2 linked regions of the Caenorhabditis elegans genome follow. The protein of the gene in region 1 interacts with the protein of each later gene in a biochemical or structural test. Each region holds a gene or a part of one and is shown on either strand. Other genes may lie near its edges.

What was found.
Region 2: of the proteins of npr-22 (region 1) and flp-22, one has a biochemical effect on the other in vitro, tested with the Caenorhabditis elegans proteins (one study listed by BioGRID).

What each region holds. Positions count from the first base shown.
Region 1 is NC_003282.8:8,557,778-8,563,908, reverse strand, and holds npr-22 (Neuropeptide receptor 22), read right to left. Parts: upstream 4,478-6,131; 5' UTR 4,442-4,477; coding exon 4,292-4,441; intron 3,912-4,291; coding exon 3,779-3,911; intron 3,631-3,778; coding exon 3,089-3,630; intron 2,659-3,088; coding exon 2,531-2,658; intron 2,473-2,530; coding exon 2,308-2,472; intron 2,174-2,307; coding exon 2,110-2,173; intron 1,234-2,109; coding exon 1,111-1,233; coding exon of another isoform or gene 1,068-1,110; 3' UTR 748-1,067; downstream 1-747. Other genes in the region: mpst-6 (thiosulfate sulfurtransferase), read left to right, coding at 1-84, 127-305. UniProt on the Caenorhabditis elegans protein: Receptor for the LURY-1-1 and LURY-1-2 peptides which control food-related processes including feeding, lifespan, egg-laying and roaming behavior. Receptor for flp-7 which stimulates serotonin-induced fat loss.
Region 2 is NC_003279.8:8,657,118-8,660,650, forward strand, and holds flp-22 (SPSAKWMRF-amide 3), read left to right. Parts: upstream 1-1,781; 5' UTR 1,782-1,794; coding exon 1,795-1,920; intron 1,921-2,174; coding exon 2,175-2,245; intron 2,246-2,566; coding exon 2,567-2,651; 3' UTR 2,652-2,850; downstream 2,851-3,533. UniProt on the Caenorhabditis elegans protein: FMRFamides and FMRFamide-like peptides are neuropeptides. SPSAKWMRF-amide: Acts as a ligand for the npr-22 receptor in vitro.

The sequences.
Region 1 (6,131 bases):
TTCGTTGCAAGGATGCGATTCACTTCCCAATCGGAGAAGTTTGTGCTGCCAAGGGATTCAAGAAGAAGACTGATTGTGATCAAGGTTAGTTGATATCATTTGCAGAAGTTAACTGAATACTTCCAGCCTTCGCCGCCAAGGGAATCAAAGTCGGAGACACCGTTGTCATTGGTTGCGGAATCGGACTCTCAGCTTCAGCTATTTGGCTCGCGGCTGCTCGTTCCGGAATCGTTGCCAAGCTGTACAATGGAGGAGTCCACGAGTTGGCTTACAAGGCGCCACAACATCTCAACACAAAGGGATAAGTGACAATCATTTCTGATTTATTTCTGCATACAACAAGTCGCTGACGGTGTTTTGTGTTTTTTGGTTTTCATATGCTTTACTTTTGTGAAGTGTATGAGAAAATTGAAGAATAAAGATTGAATGAAAATGCATAAAAATTGTTCACTTTGATTGTTTTCTTGTCTGTTTTCTGGAGTGACTATATACTTTAAATATAAGTGTCTGCCTATCAAGACTGCTTATTTCATTTTTCTTTAATAAAATACTTGCATACAATTCACGGAAAATGCATCCCTTCTAAAAATAGACAAATGCCGAATCTCTGTAAATAAACCTTCACACGTGGAACTACAAGCTTGAAACCGAAATCAATCAAATATTTATCTGAATTGCTCAGTAATTTGCCAGTTTACAAAATTTCAGTCAACTCATTGGATTCTTTTAAATCTGTCAGATGTAAATTTGTAGTATTCTAACATTTATTTCTACATTTAGTTTTGAAAAAATATTCAAATAAAATGAAAACACGCAATTTGTATGGTACAAGTTTAAAATATTGGTGATGATTCGTGGATTTGGTGGGGCGAGTATTTACCGGTATGAAAAGCGTTTCAGACAACAATTGATGTTTCATATAAAATTGTTTCTTAGGAGATCTGAGGGGTTTTTTCTTACAATACAATAAAATGGATGGAATATAAACATAATTTGTGAAATTATGCTTTAAAATACAATTTCAAATAACAAAAACCTTGAATCTATGGTCTTCTATAGCTTTCCACTCAAGTACATGGTAGATCAATTTTCTTAATGATACGGGAAAAGCTACGCGAGAGAATTGGCAGAGTTGTTTCGGACGACGACGAGTGGTCGGGCTTCGAAGAAACGTGCCGAACGACATGTTTGCCTGTCAAGGACTCCACTTCGTGAATATCTCGTAAGCGATGTCTGAAAATATTGAAAATTAGGTTGTGGCTAGGAAGAAAGTCGATGTTGTGGAAATAATCAGATTGGAAAATGTGTACTAGGCAGTGGATATAATTGAGGCGTTTAATTAATAAAAAGGGTTTAGAAGTAAAGCATTTGAATTTAAAAACTGTTTTTAAAGTTTTACTTACAAGTTCTTATGGTTCTAGGTTTCGCTAAACTTCATCGGCAAACACTTTCTCAGTAGTAGGGGTTTTCCCTCTATCATTTGGTGGCAAAATTTAGTTCGCAGTTAATTCGCGACAGGCACATAATGACTCAGTAAACAAGCACAATGATTTCATAGCAATCCTGGCTCAATGTGCTCATTATAGGCAGCTTACGAGTCGCAGTATGCGCAATGTCCGATTTTTTTGACGATGTGTAGATAAATCACTGCTCTAGGATTCTGATGGGTCCATCGCAAATTAACTGCGCTGAACGACCTAGGCTGACTTAGAAGATTTTTAATTTTGCTAATTTAACGTACCGTATTTCCTCTCTTAGTAATGCACCGGACAACTTTACTTTGTAACGTTATATATCGGTTTATTTTGAATATATCATTATATCTTTAACTACGAAATTATAGAAAAAGAACTAAAAAATATTTTGTTAGTTGACAATTTTTAAATGGAACAAATGATAACTGAGATATACACTGTCAAAGTTGAACAATGGTGTGCAATACTAAAAGAGGAAATACGATATACTCATAATTTAAAATGAAATTAACTTAATCAACATATTAGTGCATGTGAAGCAGTGCAAAATAAACTTTAAAATGTAAAAATAAAAAAGCCAAGCCAAACAAAAAGTCAAGAAGGACAAAAAACATGGGTTAGAGAACATCCTTACAGCAGGTTTTTCATCGCTTGAAGTCGGATTTATGACACCAGAAAACCGTGAACGGTTTCGAAAACTGAATGATATTGTTGAGTTATTAAAATTATCAAACTGGTTATCAACAAATAAGGTTGATACATAAATAAACTGAATTGCTCCTAACTCTTGGCTTCAATTCAAAAACAGACAACTTTGTAGAAATTGACATACCTTCTGCTAGTATTATCAGTTAAAAGACGAAGTTCTTTAAATGATATACATGGAAGAAGTTTTGAAGAGAAGAAACAGAATCCTTCACGGAAACGGGCATTTCGAATGAAATAGATAATTGGGTTGACCATTGAATGAGACATGGCAAGTCCATGAGCAAACCACCTCAAAATGCGATTTTTAAAACCAAATTATTGAGTCAGATTAAAAGAATATTTCTTACCACAAATACAGAATATATCCCCAACTGTTGATATCTGGATAGAATTCTGGAATGACGTTGATCAGTATAAGTAAAGGAAGCCAACAAAGTGCGAAGAGTGCCGAAATGAGAATCACCATTGGGACCAGCTAAAAATCTTATTTAATTAACAGGTTTCGTTTCTCACGCGGTAATATTTATTGTATTTGATAAAAATAAGTAAAAACGATATTTCAATCTACTGAACAACTTTATCAAACCGTCATGTAATAGGCAGGTAAAATGTAATAACTTCGAACTTTGATTTAATTTTTTTCAATTTTAAAGTTTCACTTAATAATGATTTGGAAAAGGTTATGTCAAAAACGATTTTTGATTATTATTTTTATGCTACACATGAGAATATTGTTCCTATAAATATAGGGGTCGGTTGACTTTGATTATGGTTATTATTATCATCACCGCACTGAGGAGCCATTGATTGTTGCATTATTTCCATATTCTTATTATTCTAATAAATCAAAACTGGGAGTTTTTGAAAGGTTAGGCTTAAATTTTTAATAATTCCAGAAATCTCACCTTTTTGACACTTTCATGTCGATCAACGATCATTTTCTTTGTTGCTCCATTCTGCATTCCTGGTACTCGACTATTCCACATTTTAATTCCAATATGTGTGTAAGTTATTATTAAAACTGCTTGAGGTACAACATATTGTAGAATTAAGACCATTGAAGAATACACTTTTCTCACTTGTTCTCCAGAATCTCCAAAATACGTCCAATTTTCTCCACAATTCGGTAAACCGTCTTGGTCTTCGAAAAATCTCGTTGTGAAGAGTAACGGCAACGCCATTAGGATACTGAATATCCACGTGGCAGCTACCAGATAAAGAGCTCTTCGTCTTGTAATTCGAATATTTGGAGTTAAAAGGAACATTATAGCCATCCACCGATCAAAACTGATAACGACAAGTGTCCAAGCTGATAAAAATACAGCCATTGCTTGAAGGAATGCTAATAAAGAGCACATCATTGAGCCGAAGAGCCAACGTTGATCATCATAAATCAATACTTGCCAATAGCTGAACGGAATGCAGAATACTGATATGAGAAGATCAGCTGCAATTTTAGTTGTTTTTTTGGGAAATTTGCTCAACATCTTAGATTAATTAATTTTTTAAACTTATCCATTTAGAAGCTCATATAAGTTCTGGAGATTTGAAAAATTATAAAAAGTTTTCAAAAATTCAAAAGTAACAAAACCCACCAACTGCCAAGTTCAATATCAAAATATTAGTCGCCGTTCGAAGTCGTTTAAAATAAACAATAACCAGAATAACGAGCACATTTCCATAGACACAGCATACGCAAAGTATACTATAGAAAAGAATACATAACATCTGTAAAAAATTAGTAATAAATAGGTACAAATATTAAAGGTAATAATGTAGTAATTTTATTCATTTTTTACACTTAAAATGGCCTCTAAAAATTATACCGAATTTTAATAATGATAGCACTTGAAAAATTTTCAAAACTTTTTATTTACGGTTCAAGTTTTGAAGAAAACGCTATCATAAATTAACTAAAATAAAAGTACATGGCACGTTAAAATCAATTTTCAGCAGGTAAAATTGGCTAAAAACATGGCCAAATTGCCTAAATATGAAATGTAAAAAAAACTAATTTTAGTTCCTTTTTTCAAAGTTTCAAAACTCTTGTAAAATTTGGATTTTTAGATATACTTTGAATGTATAAGAATATTTTTTAAAAGTCTCACCTTCATACTTGGTGTCAAATGATAAATATGATTCATTTCTTGAACAGCTGGATTTTCAGTTGTCGTCGGTTCGTTTCGCATCATAATTTCAGAGGCTGTCGTCGTGATTCTGGAGAGCAAACTGCTTCCAATACCCCCTCCTTCGTCCATATTTGCTCACGAATTAGATGACGAATCGTTCGATCTGAAATTTAAAACAATTTATTCGGAAAGAGTTTGGGGAAGTGTTCCAAATAAGGAAGACCACTTGTTCATAGAAAACCGAAAATTAAAAACAAAGAAAAAGAGAACATATTTCGGAGAAATAAATGAATATGAAGAAACCAAGAATGTATTTTCTCGCACATTTTTTAGATCAGAAATGTTGAAAGAGAAACCTTCAAATTTATGAGAATGTAGGAGAAGGATAATATTAAGAAAGTGTATCAAATTTTGTTGTTTGAAATTGATTAAAAAGTAAATTTCTATAAAGTGAAAAATTATATAAACGAAGAAGGTCAATTAGCAGTTGGAAAAATAAGGCAAAGATCAAACAAGATTTTTTTGTGATTCTTGGGTTTTCGGAAGCAAAGTATGAGAGAATTAGAGGAACATAGGATGCTCGCAATGATATTTGGATGTTTGTTGACCTCGAAAAATGACTATAGTCTTTGCGGTTTTGTAGAAAAAAAAATATAATGTTTCCGAATCCAGAAAATTTGTTAAAAGTGTGGTATATTCGAAAAATAATTCTTTTGGGAAAGTCCAGTGGGAATTAAAAAAATATATGGCAAAAGTATAGGGAAGGGAAAAACTTGAAGAACTATCCTATTTTTCGCACAAGGATGATTGGGGAATGATTACAAAATGCAGAAGTGATAGTTTTTGATTAATAAATAGGTACATTGTAACCGAAAAATCCAGAAGGTAGGCTGCTAATATCTGTTTTCGAAATCAAAATTAATAAGATGATTTCATCTGAAAATGTGGCAAACTTTCTTGAAATCTGCCATGTTTAAATAGTGATATAGTGATAGTAGTATCTAGTGATCTGTAGTGGTCCCATTTTGACACATGATCCATCAATTTCAATGAGAAAGGTCAAATCAGCCAGACATGTGTTGTATTAGTTTACAAATGAACTTTGCAAGATAACAGGAATTTATGGAAGAAAAATGTTGGAAAAATGCGTGTCTACCGAAGTTTTAGACATGAGTAATATGATCATACGATAGAGTACAAGTACAATATGAATACTTGAATAAAGTACAAACTTTTATTGCAGGGTTAGAGCACGTGCTAAAACTTGAGAAACTTGAACAAAATCAAGTAAAAGAAAATTGTTACAGATTCTTTAAACCGAAGTTTTCCAATTGTATTGTGCTAATTGTATGTTCCAATAAAGAAACTCTAGCTAACTGTTAATTATAAAAATTTAAGATTTTGGATACGCGATTGGTTTCTAGAATTTAATCGAATGAAAGATTACCGTCGTTTTATCGTATTCTTCAACACTATATCTCAATAATTTTAGCTGAATTTAATTCTTATTTGTCTATTTTTTTGTAGAAAAAACTATTGACCAGATAGGACAAAAAAAAACTGAAATTTATTAAAATATGTCTAAAATATGTTTCAATGATGTTATAATCAGGAAATGATAAGGTAGACCTCAGTACATATGACACCTTTCACGTTATTAGCAAGAATGTACATAGATATCTCAAGATTCAGATAGATTACGTCATCACGGCATGAAAATGTCTCAAATGTACATCTCAATTAGCATAAAAATAATTTCTAGAATTTCTGAAAGAAAAAGGAGAAGTATATAAAAATAGGAATAAGAACACCACATCCT
Region 2 (3,533 bases), on another chromosome or scaffold:
ATTTTGAAATGAAAATAAAACATTTTAGATTATAAAGATCAGTCCTGTCACTTGCAGGAAACACCACCTAGTATATAATTTTGAAAAAAAAATTAAATCAGAAAATGCCCAATGTTTCATGAAAAATGACTGAGTCATCCATCACTTTTTGCACAGCGTTTCCTTTTTCAGTTTCATTCAATTTCCGGTACCTTTTCTCATTTGAAACGAAAATTTCACAAAAAAAATTGACAAATAAAATTGAAAAAAAAAAACGAACCCTCAGGAAATTGAGCATAAATATTATGTGATCATTGTCGCATTCTTGACTCATTTCTTTGTTTTCATTGCATTAAATTTCTCTATTTTTTCATTATCTAACTTTTTCAGCCTTCTAGCTTTTTTCAGCCCAACAATTACTACCCCTGAAAAGTGAAAAAAACGCGTTTTATTTTTTTCAGGAGCTTTTATGGGGGAAGTCTCTGAAAATTGGCAATTTAATTGTTTTTCTTTACATCCAACAAGATTATCAAAATTGAGATCAAATTTCAAAATCTGGCAACTCTCGTTACCCATTTGACCCACCGAAAAGGCGGCAACTTTCTTTTTGGGAGGTGTGACGTCACGCTACTAAACATGAGGATGCCACGTGTTACTGTAGTTAAAACTATACTATCCACGAGGGCATCATATAGAAAAGACCCTCGCTTTACTTTATTCAAAAATTTAATTTAATTATTTTCAAAAAGAAAGGCATATCACAATACGTTTACATTATAATAAAAGTTTTTATATCACATCATTGTTTTCCAATATCACATGCCTTCTGGGACTATAATCCCAATTACTTTTACATTTTTTTTCGGTTAGAAAATGTGAATAGAGCAGAGCGTGAGAACAAGGATATATTGTATATTGGCACTTGTTTTCAGTATATTTCTCCTTCTTCTTTTTCACCCACCTAACAGTTTTCTCGTTTCTCTCGCTAAGAGGGAAATTGAATCTGATGGCAAGAGAAGCATCTTCATTCCACTTGACGGTTTCCTTTTGAGCAGTGAATGTGGAAAAATTGAATTGGAACCACACTTTAGTGATCACAACAATATCAACGTTTTTTTTTGCGAGGGACATTCCCAGAGAAGTCACAATCTTTTCAGTGAAAATTTGAGTGTTCATACCTATTAATTTTCGGGGAAAACTTACATTATACTTTTAAATGAAAACTATATACTCTTAAAATGACAAAGATCATTTGAAAAAGCCTTCCGGAAACCGCATATTAGTTCTGCTCAATTTGAAATAAGTAGTTCCTGAACTAGAGTTATATGATTGTTCACTGAAAAAACAGATGAATCTGAATATGTTGATCTTATTTTTAATTGCAATTATTTATTTATGAGCCCTCATTCAACTGCTTATGGGAACGTTTTGTTGTCATATAACCAACAAAAACAAAGAAAGGAAATTGAAAATATTCTGAAAATCATAATTTCCTCGGAACAATCTGTTGTTTTTATTTTCCTTATAATAAGTGAATATTCTCAATGAACTCAATAACCATTAAAGTTTTATTTTCATTTTTCGCCGTTGTACTCTAAGCTTGCAAGTTATCAGGATCCTCTGTATGCTTCAAAATATCATTTTAAGAAGTCAAACTAACTTTATGACAAACTAAACTAATGGCTTTGCGTGACGTCACACATTGACAACATATGACTTATTGATAGTCATACCTGCAATCTCTATATTCGATTGTCTACCTTCAACTTCAATAAATATTACCAAATTAAGTTTTATTTCAGGATATACACAAAAATGAACCGTTCCATGATTGCCCTTTGTGTTGTTTTGATGGTATCATTGGTGTCGGCTCAGGTCTTCGATTTGGATGGACAACAGTTGGCTGGTCTCGAACAGAATGATGCACGTCTTATGGAGCAAGTATGTTTATTGGCTAGACTTCGATTCTGGGAATTTGAGCGTCAAGTTTCTTGTACTACGATAGATGACAGAACAAAACTATAAAGTTTGATCTACTATTAGTTTTGCTCAATATTTAAGTATCAACAACCATTATCATTATCTAACTTTTCTCGTCCTAATAATTGTATATAGCGAACACAATGGTTTAGGTAAAGAAAGTTCAGGAGCAATATTAGGTGTCGAATTTCATTTTAAATTTCTCACATTTATAGCAAGTCAAACGGTCCCCGTCAGCCAAATGGATGCGATTCGGTAAAAGATCACCATCAGCCAAGTGGATGAGGTAAGGCGAGGGAGCTGAAACCGTGGGAAATTCAAAACGTTTTCTTTTGTGAAAATGACATCAACTTTTGAAGAATAATGTTTTTTTTTTCAAAAGTTGTTTGTGGGGGAGATGGGGGGAACACATAAAAGTTAGTTCTACAATTATAAGAATTTATGCTGGCTGAATGAGAATTTATAGGACATAAAAATATTCTCAAGTTTTTGGAACTTTTGTCATAAAAGTTAACTCCAATAGCTCAGCATGAACATTCAAAAACTCGAAAAATTTTAGCATAAATAAATTGAATTCTCATGTAATCCGGAACAATACAATTTTTAGATTCGGAAAACGATCTCCATCAGCAAAATGGATGAGATTTGGAAAGCGTAGTGGAGCTGAAGCAGTTTCTGAACAGGATTATTAATTTATTGTTTATATTTTGTTTACTTCTATCACCTTTTTTTCCCATCGACCTAGAAATCTGACCCATCTTCTTCTCGTTAATCACTCGACTTGGAAATTTTATTTTGTGGCTTAAAAATAATATTTTTGGACAAAAATACATTATTTTTGTTTCAGGATACAACTGTGTAATGGCTACTGAATAAATGTGATCTTTGTTAGTGTCAATTAGTGTCAATAGAAAGCGACTTTTGTGTTCACAAATGATGTGAGACTAACTAATTACACGATCGTGCACGATGCTACCCAGTTTTCCGAAGAAATCTGTCTTTAGAGACATGTTTTAATTTTTGTTCCGGTAAATGAAAGCGGGAATATTTTTCCAAAAACATTGTGACGTCAGCACGCTCTTAGCCATGTGAAATCAGATGAGATGACTGCGTCTCACTTCCCGCATTTTTTGAAGATCAAAGCGAAATAAGACATTCTGACTCCATGTGCATAAACACAAATTGGTTTTATTATTTTGCAAATAATTTTTTTTAATTCTCAAAAACTTTCGATCTATTTAAATACAGTTTTATGAAAAAGTTTTAAAACTACTGTGTACGCATTTTTACGTCAGTGTGTGCATTGCGTAAAAGACGTTAAATTATACGCAATATCAATGAAAATTGTTTTTTTTTAATTTTAATAAATTTTAAGTTTTTTAAATCACCTCAGGCAAACGAAACCCAAGTGGATCCCACTCAAAACCCAAGCGGATCCCACGGAAAACCTAAACCAGCCATGTCCACTTGGGTTTCGTTTGCCTGAGACATTTTTCCTTGTAAAATGGTTTATGCTGTTTTATTTTTTTGCATAGTACTGGCTGTTTCGTTTCAATACATTCTTGAGCTACTGC